Saccharomyces cerevisiae S288C: one gene and its partners. The protein of the gene in region 2 purifies or fractionates together with the protein of the main gene of each other region. This does not show direct contact. Each region holds a gene or a part of one and is shown on either strand. Other genes may lie near its edges. The genes, in order: AIM9, EHD3 and TIM11.

Evidence for each region.
Region 1: the proteins of EHD3 (region 2) and AIM9 fractionate together in Saccharomyces cerevisiae (co-fractionation; one large-scale study listed by BioGRID). This does not show direct contact.
Region 3: the proteins of EHD3 (region 2) and TIM11 fractionate together in Saccharomyces cerevisiae (co-fractionation; one large-scale study listed by BioGRID). This does not show direct contact.

Annotation. Positions count from the first base shown.
Region 1 is NC_001137.3:318,248-322,472, reverse strand, and holds AIM9 (Aim9p), read right to left. Parts: upstream 2,511-4,225; coding exon 627-2,510; downstream 1-626. Other genes in the region: YER079W (uncharacterized protein), read right to left, coding at 2,921-3,553; YER078W-A (uncharacterized protein), read right to left, coding at 3,663-3,827; ICP55 (aminopeptidase), read left to right, coding at 4,131-4,225.
Region 2 is NC_001136.10:522,550-526,262, reverse strand, and holds EHD3 (mitochondrial 37S ribosomal protein mS47 EHD3), read left to right. Parts: upstream 1-1,549; coding exon 1,550-3,052; downstream 3,053-3,713. Other genes in the region: lysine--tRNA ligase KRS1, read right to left, coding at 1-823; 3-deoxy-7-phosphoheptulonate synthase ARO3, read right to left, coding at 3,335-3,713.
Region 3 is NC_001136.10:1,111,429-1,114,054, forward strand, and holds TIM11 (F1F0 ATP synthase subunit e), read right to left. Parts: upstream 866-2,626; coding exon 575-865; downstream 1-574. Other genes in the region: mitochondrial 54S ribosomal protein mL38 MRPL35, read left to right, coding at 1-264; PEP7 (phosphatidylinositol-3-phosphate binding protein), read right to left, coding at 1,052-2,599. UniProt on the Saccharomyces cerevisiae protein: Mitochondrial membrane ATP synthase (F(1)F(0) ATP synthase or Complex V) produces ATP from ADP in the presence of a proton gradient across the membrane which is generated by electron transport complexes of the respiratory chain.

The DNA of each region.
Region 1 (4,225 bases), on a different chromosome or scaffold from region 2:
CACGGGCAGCGTTGCATTTTCTTAATTTTTTTCTCGTGGTAGAAGTCAAGGACAATAAATTGCGAAATTAGGTGGGAACGAGAAGAATAATTAAAGTGCTGAGACCGAAGTTGTTCCCCTTGAATTCCATTTGTGAGTAAATATCGAAAATGGGTCCACAAAAAAAATTAGGTTTTTCTAAAATATTAGGTCCAGCCTAACTGCTTAACCAAATTTTTAATTTGTGATATTTGCACATAGCTTGGCCAAACAAAGGCATTACTCGATTGTGAGTAAAAAACTAAAACAATGTAGATAATCAGGATTAAACAATGGCATTTCTATGGATTTGTTGTTCTCTTTATATATTTGAGGAAAATTCAAAGATAATGGGGAGAAAGGTGGAGATGTATCTCCACCTATCGTAAATTTGAAAGTTCCGCTTTTCCGCCAATTGCACCCAAACATCACGCAACGCTTTTTAAAACGTTATCAATATATCCAATCCAGCATTGTTAAGTTGATTAGTAAATGGAAGAGATTCCATTGTGTACAAAAAAGGGTTTTAACTTGATTATTTTGTTATAACGTTCTATACAGTTGAATGAGGTAAAGAAAACAAAAAAATATTTCATTTTTAGTATAGATTATTTGGTAGCTTCAGGTTGCTTCACGGTGTAGTCTCCGTTCTCTTGCTTAACAATACTGCCGGAATTTAATAGTTGATCAAACATATCTTGAGGAATCCACCCTTGAGTGGCAGCAAATGGTGTAGAGATTAGCTTTTCGTGTAATTTTTGCAAATCCTCAACATGTCTTTCAATATCTTCTTTACTATAGTTTAGAGGAAACTTTTTCTGATTCACTAACTCATTCTGGGCAAAGATGTCCCAAACTTCCTTCAATTGCAATAGTGATTCATCAATAAGTAAATACTCTTCTTCCGTTTTTCTTTCGACAGCTGCAATATATGGGCTTCTCAGTAGCTTAACAGGTGGGGCAACTGCAGTAATTAATTTAGGATTATTGTCATTTAATTTTTTCTCCCATTGATGTTGATTACGGGTGCGCTTGTACATGAACTGATATTGCACCTTTTCCGCCTCAGATAATTTGTCAAAATCGGTTATGTCCTCCTTTAAGTCATAAATCTTGGGCCCATCATAGGCGATGAATTGTGGCGAATTCTGTAAAATGAAAGGTTTTGTGCATGCTCCTTCAAAATCTAATAGATAGGCTTCTTGTGCTTCTTTGTTAACAATAATATTCATGGGGTCTAGATCAGGATGAAACAAACGTGGTGACAATAGTTCCTGCATATTTGGAATGGCCTTTGTTTTGACGTTGAATAAATCCGGGGCAATCTTAGCTAAATTTTCATAGGTAGTTATTTGCTCCTTCAAAGTTCGAGGATACATCAATTCAGCTGAACTTCCTGCCTCTTTCATGGCTATTCTAGTTTTAGCATTTTCAGCTTCCAATAGGCCAGTATTTTTAATTATATCCATTGGAGACTTCTTTGGCCATGGTCCCAAAAAAGGTTTCATTTGTTTATGAAAATCCAAGTGAGATTTATGTCTCCAGAGACATCTTTCCACGGATGGCCCAATTTTCCATCTGTTTTGTAGATCCGGATTAGTTTCCCCATCGTATATGTCTTCCTTAACAAACTCCTTCTCATTTCCGTCTTTTAAGTCATTGTTAAAATATATGGATCCAAATGCATTTAATTTCAATGACACTAACTTCGACTGAAAATCAGAAACTTGTTTAATAACATTGTCATATTTTTTTTGATTGGAGGAACCGTCTTCAATCAATGGATCCCAATCTTTCATCAAGAGTTCTCCTTCGATAAATTCTTGTAAGACAAAAGGCTGCCTTACAGGGTTCAAAGAATTGACACCATAACAAAAAATCTTGGGAACTTTGATGCCCAACTTCAAGTCAGCAAAATCCATGGTTGCTACTTCACTTCTTATTCTGTAGGATAGAGTGTTTTCATTTTCCAGCGGATAAGGAATCCTCAAGATAAATGCCTTGTTCAAATTCGTGTCGACCTTGTATATTCTGTGATGTTTACCTTCGTGAATACTAGATAATGTGGTTACTTGAACTTTTTCATTTGGGTTGATTTTACCTATATTCTTTGGTACAACGTTATTGACCAATGAAACGGTCAAGTTCTTGTTAAACACTGGTGGTAAGATCTTACCGTCGGGGGCCTTAGCCATTTCATTAGATTGAATGTAGATGTCATTGAGAATGCGATTTAAACCTTCAATCGAAAACTTCGTGAATCTTTTTTCCTTTTCTTGCTTATCATTTTTAAGCCATGAGCCCCACGTATATTTGAAAAAGGCATCTCTCTTTGGATCATTGTCATTCGTTAGCTTGGTAAAAACTTCGTTTGGCTTATTGGAGATAAATCTCTTGGTGGCGGCGACGGTGATACATTTAATTGCACCCACTCTTTTCGAAGCTCCTACTACACACCTTCTGGAATGGCCAGCAACAGTGTACCTAATCATGCTTGGTCTTCGTATTGCTGTCTTGCTTGCTAAACAGCTTTTGCTACTTCTTCTTCGCTGATGAGAAAAGGGAGTCTACTAAATACAGTTCGGCTTAAAGTGTCGCTGGTCAGCAATCGGCCCGAAAATACATTGAACATTTGAAATTACCATGTTTCAAAACGAATATTTATTATAATTATTACTAGTAAAAGTTATACATAAGAAGGGAATAATACAAAGAAACGGGAAACAGCTAAATGTAGTATATAGCCGAAAGATGTGGACATATCCCAACAAATCGTCTTATGAGATCCTTTTTTTGTTTTATATTTTTTTTTTTTAGCGGGTATAAACGTATCATTTATATATTTTATTCTTTCCTTTAACTCTCAAAATTTGAGCAATTAGGTTACTGTGGTTCACGTGATTCAAGTGTGCACATTGCTGCTATGCTTTGTAGTATTATCCATAGAGTTTAGGGAGGGGGAATGGTCGGAGAGTGGGTAATTTGCATTGTCTAATGGAGCAGAATCAGCGTTACTTTTCTGGAAATAAAACTGGTCCGATAACGAAGTAGTAGAATCAGAGGTGAGATTGGAGTTGGAAGTGGTGTTGAGTTTGTAAAACTTTTCGGTTTGATCATGCGATACCTTGTATTTGTCATCCTTGTCATTCTTCTTTTTTTTGTTCTTCTTTTTGTTCTTAGGGTCTACCATATTGCTAGTCTTCGGGGTAGGAGACTTTGTTCCATTATTGTGATCATATTGTTTTCGAACCATGGAATTCAATAAATTAAGTGAATATTTCGGAATCCCATCTCTTTTGACATTAATCCCCTGAATACCATCCTTCGTGGCAATCATGGAGGCACCTGATGTGATGGAGCAACCTGAGTTCGTTCTCGTTATCCTATCTTCACCAGAGGCAATATTGGAAGGGCTCATTGATCTCTGATCTAAGTCCAGGTTAGTAGACCTGTTATTAGTGTAAATGGACTGATCATAGAGAGAGATGGCAGATGCAACATCTTTTGAGCTTATTGAATGTGATGAATCAGGCATTATTAACTATTCGCTTCCTTTTCTTATCTCAGCAGTTTGTGTTTTTTATTCTTATTGTTATTATCCCTTTTAACTATATATGCATAAGCTAAGTTAAATATTAAAATATTTATATATAAACGTTACAGGGCGTGTGAACACATTTGAAAAAATGCTGGAAGGTAATGGTAGATATAAGAATTGGAATAACAGGTTGATAGAGAATCGCCAAGCTAGAGAGTTCTGACAAGCGGCAAGGGGGAAGGATGAGACGCAGATACGAAAGCCGCACCATTAAACCGTAAAGAGAGAAAAATAAAGAATGACTTATTTCTCGGAAAGGCCAAATGCAATTATGCAACACGCACACATTCACACTCACACTCACACATAAACTTTGACTGAAACCAAAACTGTTGTGAGTAATAGCCTTTCTTGTTCATAAAATAGTACAAGATACAGTAAATATATATCAACTCACCTGGTATAGGGATCACTTACTGCACTGCAAAAGTGGATCGTTTGCGCAAGAAACTCCACCAATTCTAAAGAATATAATAGAAAAAGCTAATAGGAAAAGTGGTCATTTTCTGTTGATATGTTACATAGGATAAACCCAGTACGGTTTTCTATGCAATCTTGCCAAAGATACTTCTCGAAGTTGGTATCGCCATTGGAACAGCATAAAAGTAA
Region 2 (3,713 bases):
TCATCATTGGAGTTTCTACTTCAATAAACTTTCTTTGGTCCAAAAATCTTCTGATGTAACGGATAATTTCAGAACGGGTAATAAAACGGTTTCTGGCGTCTTTGTTCATGATCAAATCCAAATAACGCTTTCTGTATCTGGTTTCCTGGTCTTTGAAACCAAAGTGGTCGGCAGGTAACATGTGCAAACATGGTGTCAATAATTGCACTCTGCTAACGAAGACGGAAACTTCACCTTCACCACCTTTCTTTGGTTGAGTTCTTCCGACGTAACCCTCGACACCAACGATATCACCCCTTTTCAAAAGGTCGTGATCCTTTTCGTAAGAGTCTGGGTCGCAGTAGTCCTGCAATTGGGACATCAATTGAACTTCAACACCATCACCGTGAAGAACATAGAATTTCAATTTGGAGCCAGATTCTCTTTTGGCATGAATTCTACCAGCAATTGAAACCTTCTCTTCAGGTAAGGTTTCACCTTTTTTCAAATGCGCATATTTGGCCAAGAACTCAGGATTGGATATAGAAACGTGAAACTTGTGTGGGTATGGATTTGGTTCGTGAGTCTTTCTCAATTCTTGAATTTGGCGAGATCTTGTTTCGAAATATTGCGATGGATCCAGGTCAGCGAACAAATCTGTTTTTTTTTTGGAAGCCGGTTTTGGTTGAGCGGCAGCCTTTTTGGCGGCCTTTTTAGCTTCGACTTGTCTTTGCTTGATACGCTTCTTCAATTCAGACTTGGAGACCATTTCCCCGGTAGCTTCGTCGAGATGTAGGTTAGCAACACCTTCAGCGGCGGCTTTGACATTATCTTGTTGAGACATTATGCTATTGAAGTTTATTACGGATTTCTCGGAGGAAGGACAGAGCAATAAATCAATGTATGTAAGATAATTATACTTTTCTTTCTAAACAAAAAAGTGGCTGTATATATAACTTCGAAGTTCATTAAGAGTCATTTCATCATTCATCGATAATTCAAGCTAAAAAAAAAAGAAAAAAAAAAAGAAAAGCGCCGAAAAAAATTCAAATGGCAAATATTTTCACAACACCCATACACTACACCAAAAATATTCCTACATCACTAATGCCATTAGCATTCCATAAACTACTAACCAACAACTAGAACAGAACTTGATCTATTGTGCTCATGGGTCGGAGAAGCTCGCCTTATCCGCATCGTTTCCTGGGTTAATAGAAAGGTTTTTTGAATTCTTAAACATGTAATATCTCAAAACTAACACTTAAACATTATGCCGAAGAGAACAGTCCCTAACCCATTTGTAGTAAGCAGCCTTACAGGATTCCAAGGATTCAGCCAGCCAAACTGACCCATTGCGTTTTCTACCAATCTTCTCTTGTTTAGTAACACAATCCGGGTCACCCTTCGGAACTTCGGAATTGGAGAGGCAAGTGCAAAGAAAAGTGTTAAACCTCGGAGCCAAATGATTGATGAGGTAGCCGAGAAGATAAGAGCAGCTTGTTTCCTGCGCCTGTGTACGGGAATCCTCATTTATATAATACTTGGTTCTGTTTAGCCACCACAAATAATGCTCAGAAATACGCTAAAATGTGCCCAATTGTCGTCTAAATACGGATTTAAAACTACCACACGTACATTCATGACTACTCAACCCCAGCTAAATGTCACCGACGCACCACCTGTGCTATTTACCGTTCAAGATACAGCTAGAGTTATCACGCTAAATAGGCCCAAAAAGCTCAATGCTTTGAACGCCGAAATGTCAGAATCCATGTTCAAGACTTTGAACGAGTATGCAAAGAGCGATACTACAAACTTAGTCATTTTAAAGTCATCCAACCGACCACGTTCGTTCTGTGCTGGTGGTGATGTAGCTACTGTGGCAATATTCAATTTTAACAAAGAATTTGCCAAGTCCATCAAATTTTTTACTGATGAATATTCTTTGAATTTTCAAATAGCAACTTACTTGAAACCAATTGTTACCTTCATGGACGGTATCACCATGGGTGGCGGCGTTGGTCTATCCATTCACACGCCCTTTAGAATTGCTACAGAAAACACCAAATGGGCCATGCCCGAGATGGACATTGGTTTTTTTCCAGATGTAGGCTCAACTTTTGCTCTCCCTAGAATCGTGACATTGGCTAACTCAAACTCACAAATGGCCCTGTATCTATGTCTTACAGGAGAAGTAGTCACAGGAGCAGACGCTTATATGCTCGGCTTAGCGTCTCATTACGTCAGTAGTGAAAATTTAGATGCTTTGCAGAAAAGATTAGGTGAAATTAGCCCCCCTTTTAATAACGATCCACAATCTGCATACTTCTTCGGGATGGTTAACGAATCCATCGACGAATTCGTATCACCATTACCAAAAGATTATGTTTTCAAGTATTCTAACGAGAAATTAAACGTTATTGAAGCCTGTTTTAACTTGTCTAAAAATGGTACTATTGAAGACATAATGAATAACTTACGTCAATATGAAGGTTCTGCGGAAGGTAAGGCTTTCGCACAAGAAATCAAAACGAAATTGTTAACCAAGTCACCATCCTCTCTTCAAATCGCCTTGAGATTGGTGCAAGAGAATTCCAGAGATCACATAGAATCTGCTATCAAAAGAGACTTATACACAGCAGCTAACATGTGCATGAACCAGGACTCTTTGGTGGAATTCTCTGAAGCCACAAAGCATAAACTTATTGATAAACAAAGGGTCCCGTATCCATGGACAAAGAAGGAACAGTTATTTGTATCTCAGTTGACATCTATCACATCTCCTAAACCATCGCTACCAATGTCATTACTAAGAAATACCTCGAATGTTACTTGGACTCAATATCCCTACCATTCTAAATACCAATTGCCTACAGAACAGGAAATCGCTGCGTATATTGAAAAGAGAACGAATGATGACACTGGCGCCAAAGTTACCGAAAGAGAAGTACTAAATCACTTTGCCAATGTGATTCCTTCTAGAAGAGGGAAACTGGGTATCCAATCGCTATGTAAAATTGTTTGTGAAAGAAAATGTGAAGAAGTTAACGATGGCTTAAGATGGAAATAAAACCTGAAATAGCAGCCCCGTGGCTCGTAAAGAATTTTGCCAACACTTCTATGCATGTAAATAATAAAAGTAAAACATAACGCTATATTTGTATATGGATGTTTATTTAATGATACATAGAAAACTGTCATTTTCTTTCTCTTTTCTTATAAGTATTTTTTTTTATAAAAGGCAAAAAAAAAAAAGTTTGAATGTAATAAATATGGTTCAGAAAGAAATTACAATAAATCAAAAGTTTTGAGTATCATTCAAGATTATTTGCATTTTTCCCTCATTTACAGGCTATTTTTTCAAGGCCTTTCTTCTGTTTCTAACACCTTCTGCCAATAGCTCCAATACCTGTTCGGTGGACTCCCAGCCAATACAAGCATCCGTAACAGAACAACCATACTTCAATCCCTCTCTGCCACCTTCTTTGGGAATATCTTGTCTACCTTCATTTATGTTGGACTCAATCATAACACCACAGAGACTATTCTCACCCTCCGTCAGCTGGTCATAAATACATTTGGCAACCTTTGGTTGGTTCTTGAAATCTTTATTACTGTTGCCGTGGGAACAATCGATCATAATTCTTTTCTGGGAATCATCAGTCAAACCGGCCTTTTCTAACTGTTTCTTAGTATTTTGAACACTTTCTTTGTCAAAGTTAGTACCGTTC
Region 3 (2,626 bases), 590 kb from region 2:
GAAAAGAATGCTGGAAAACAGAGATTCGTTGTTTGGGTATTCAGACAACCCTTAATCGAGGATAAGCAAGGTCCTAACATGTTAGAGATTGACCGAAAGGAACTAAGTAGAGATGATTTTGATATCAGGCAATTTACGAAGAAATACAATCTAACCGCTATTGGGGCACATATCTGGAGAAGCGAATGGGATGCCAAAGTCGCCGCCGTCAGAGAAAAATATGGCCTACCACCTGGAAGGGTTTTTAGCAGAGTTAGAAGGTGATCCTAAATAGTATGACATTATAGTATCCTGTACATATAAAATAACGTGTCATTGTTAATAAAGCTTGATGCAAATAATATAAAGTAAGAATCTGAAAAATTTTTGGAATGTGAATTTTGTTTACAATACGATACGTATGATATTAGTATGTTCTAGAATATATACATTTCATTTTTTTCCTTATTGTTTGTGCACTAACGAATGAAGAAAAAAATATGGAACATCTAGCGAACGAGAATCCATCATAACTTCGTCATTCAGTGCGAGCTAATGTGCATTTTTAGTATCCTATTTATGTTGAAGCTTCTATTTATGTTGAAGCTTCCTTCAGGGATTCAACGGCGTTAAGAATAACTCTTTCAAAATCTATATTAGGATCTTCCAAATTAAATGAGGCGTTCGCAGGCACATCTTTAGGAGTTACTACAGGGTGTAGCTTGGCGTATTCCTTCTTTGCCTCCTCTACCAGCTTCAATTTCTCCTCGTACTGTGCCTGCTCCTCTTTCTTCTTAGCATTACACTTCAAAATCATATCATTTCTAAAACCAAAAAATAGCCCCAAACCCAACGCAGAGTATCTCAAAACATTAACTGTCGACATCCTTTAACTCACTCAGCTAGTTCCTATATACGTTATGTTCCGATATAATACTTCCTTTTATCTAAAATTTCTGTGTGAAAAGTCAAAAAAACTAAAGAAAAATTTATACCCTTAAATAGATCTGATTGGCTCCGCGGACCAATTAGCGTGGAGATTCCGCGAATGATCGAATAATAAAGATATGTCTTAATTAAACCCATGGTCACCCAGCTTCGATTGAACGGTATGTATTCTTGAGTGCAATTCTTCTAAGTTCTTATTAAGTGTGACGATCTCCTCCAATCTACGCTGCTTCTTATAGTCCTGAATTGTGGACTCAATAAGGTAGCTTTGTTCCTTTAGGACCATCAATTCTTCTCTCAGCTCTTTCACTTCTTTTATGGTCAAGTTTTCGATCATTAGTTGCGATAATTTCTTTACCTCTGGTTCAGCTTTTTGCCCATCTTCATTCGTTTTATGGCCCTCTGGGTTCAAAATTGCCGGAAGCGACTTCAACGGTAGGATTTTTTCGTTTATGTATGCAGCGGAAGCTATCTTGATCGAATTTTGAAGTTGTCTCTCTAGATGACTTTGAGGTTCTACACTTAAGAGCTGTCTTGTTAGTGTATTATACAAGTTAAAAGAATTGAGTAATTTATGTCTTAATCGAGCGAGATCATTCAGATTCTTTGGATCAAGTGTATTTTCAGAATCCTTGGCAGTCTCCACCTTCAGGCTATTCAATGAGTCTTCAAAAATGGGCAGGAGACTATCAATTACTTTGGATATATTTTGCATGCTATCATATTTAGCAAATATTCCACTTAGCGGCATTCTAACGTCCTTGTTAAATTTCCTGCCAATAAATAGCATATCGATACAGTGCGAGCACAATCTTATGGATATAGGAATATGAAGTAAATCATCCTTCTGTATATTGTATTCGAATGGCAGATCTGACGCTGCAGACATTAAATAACCTATGCTTATTTCGTTTGAGCAGTTCCTGTTTGCATCATCACAAACAACCATACCACATAATCTGCAGTGATGCTTCCTTAGTAATAGCCCAAATGGTTCGGAACATATGTTACAAAAGAGTACACTTCTATCATCTCTCCATGGAGTAACTGTACGTTCTAACTTGGACATTTCACTATTCATCTTCAAATTATGAATAATGGATCTAGAATATGTGTTATAGAGTGTAATCAGACCATCAACTAGACGGACAAACCGATTTTCTAATTGTAATAGCCTTAAGTTTTTGTCCTCTCTTTTTATATTTCGTACCTTAAAGAATTCTGGTGTTAAATCTATTACTTCGCCATAATCGTTATAGCCAGGTTTTGTGACGAAACAATCATGGCAGCAATTGTACCATTTCCCGTTTCTGGGGTCATACTGTGCGGAAAGATTAAGTTTAATCATATTAGGAAGATGCCTTCTGCAATACAGTTTACCACATTTCCTACAATTAATGGCGCCAATATTGTTATTCAAAGTCCTTCCACATGTGTGACAGCAGCTCTTCCCTTTTTTGAATTTTTCCCAATGGCTTCTTTTCAACTTTTGCGCACTGCTATCAACAGATCTGGCCTTTTTTTGTTTACCATTGACTAAACGACTGTCATTGGAACCGAGTGAATCTTCATTATCGTTAAACCCATGCTCAACATCTAAATGTGCATTTAGTGCTTGTAAGTTATCAAACTTCCTTAGACAAATGGGACATGAAACATTTTCAAGATCCATAATAGATAAGTCGCCAGGAAATTCGGT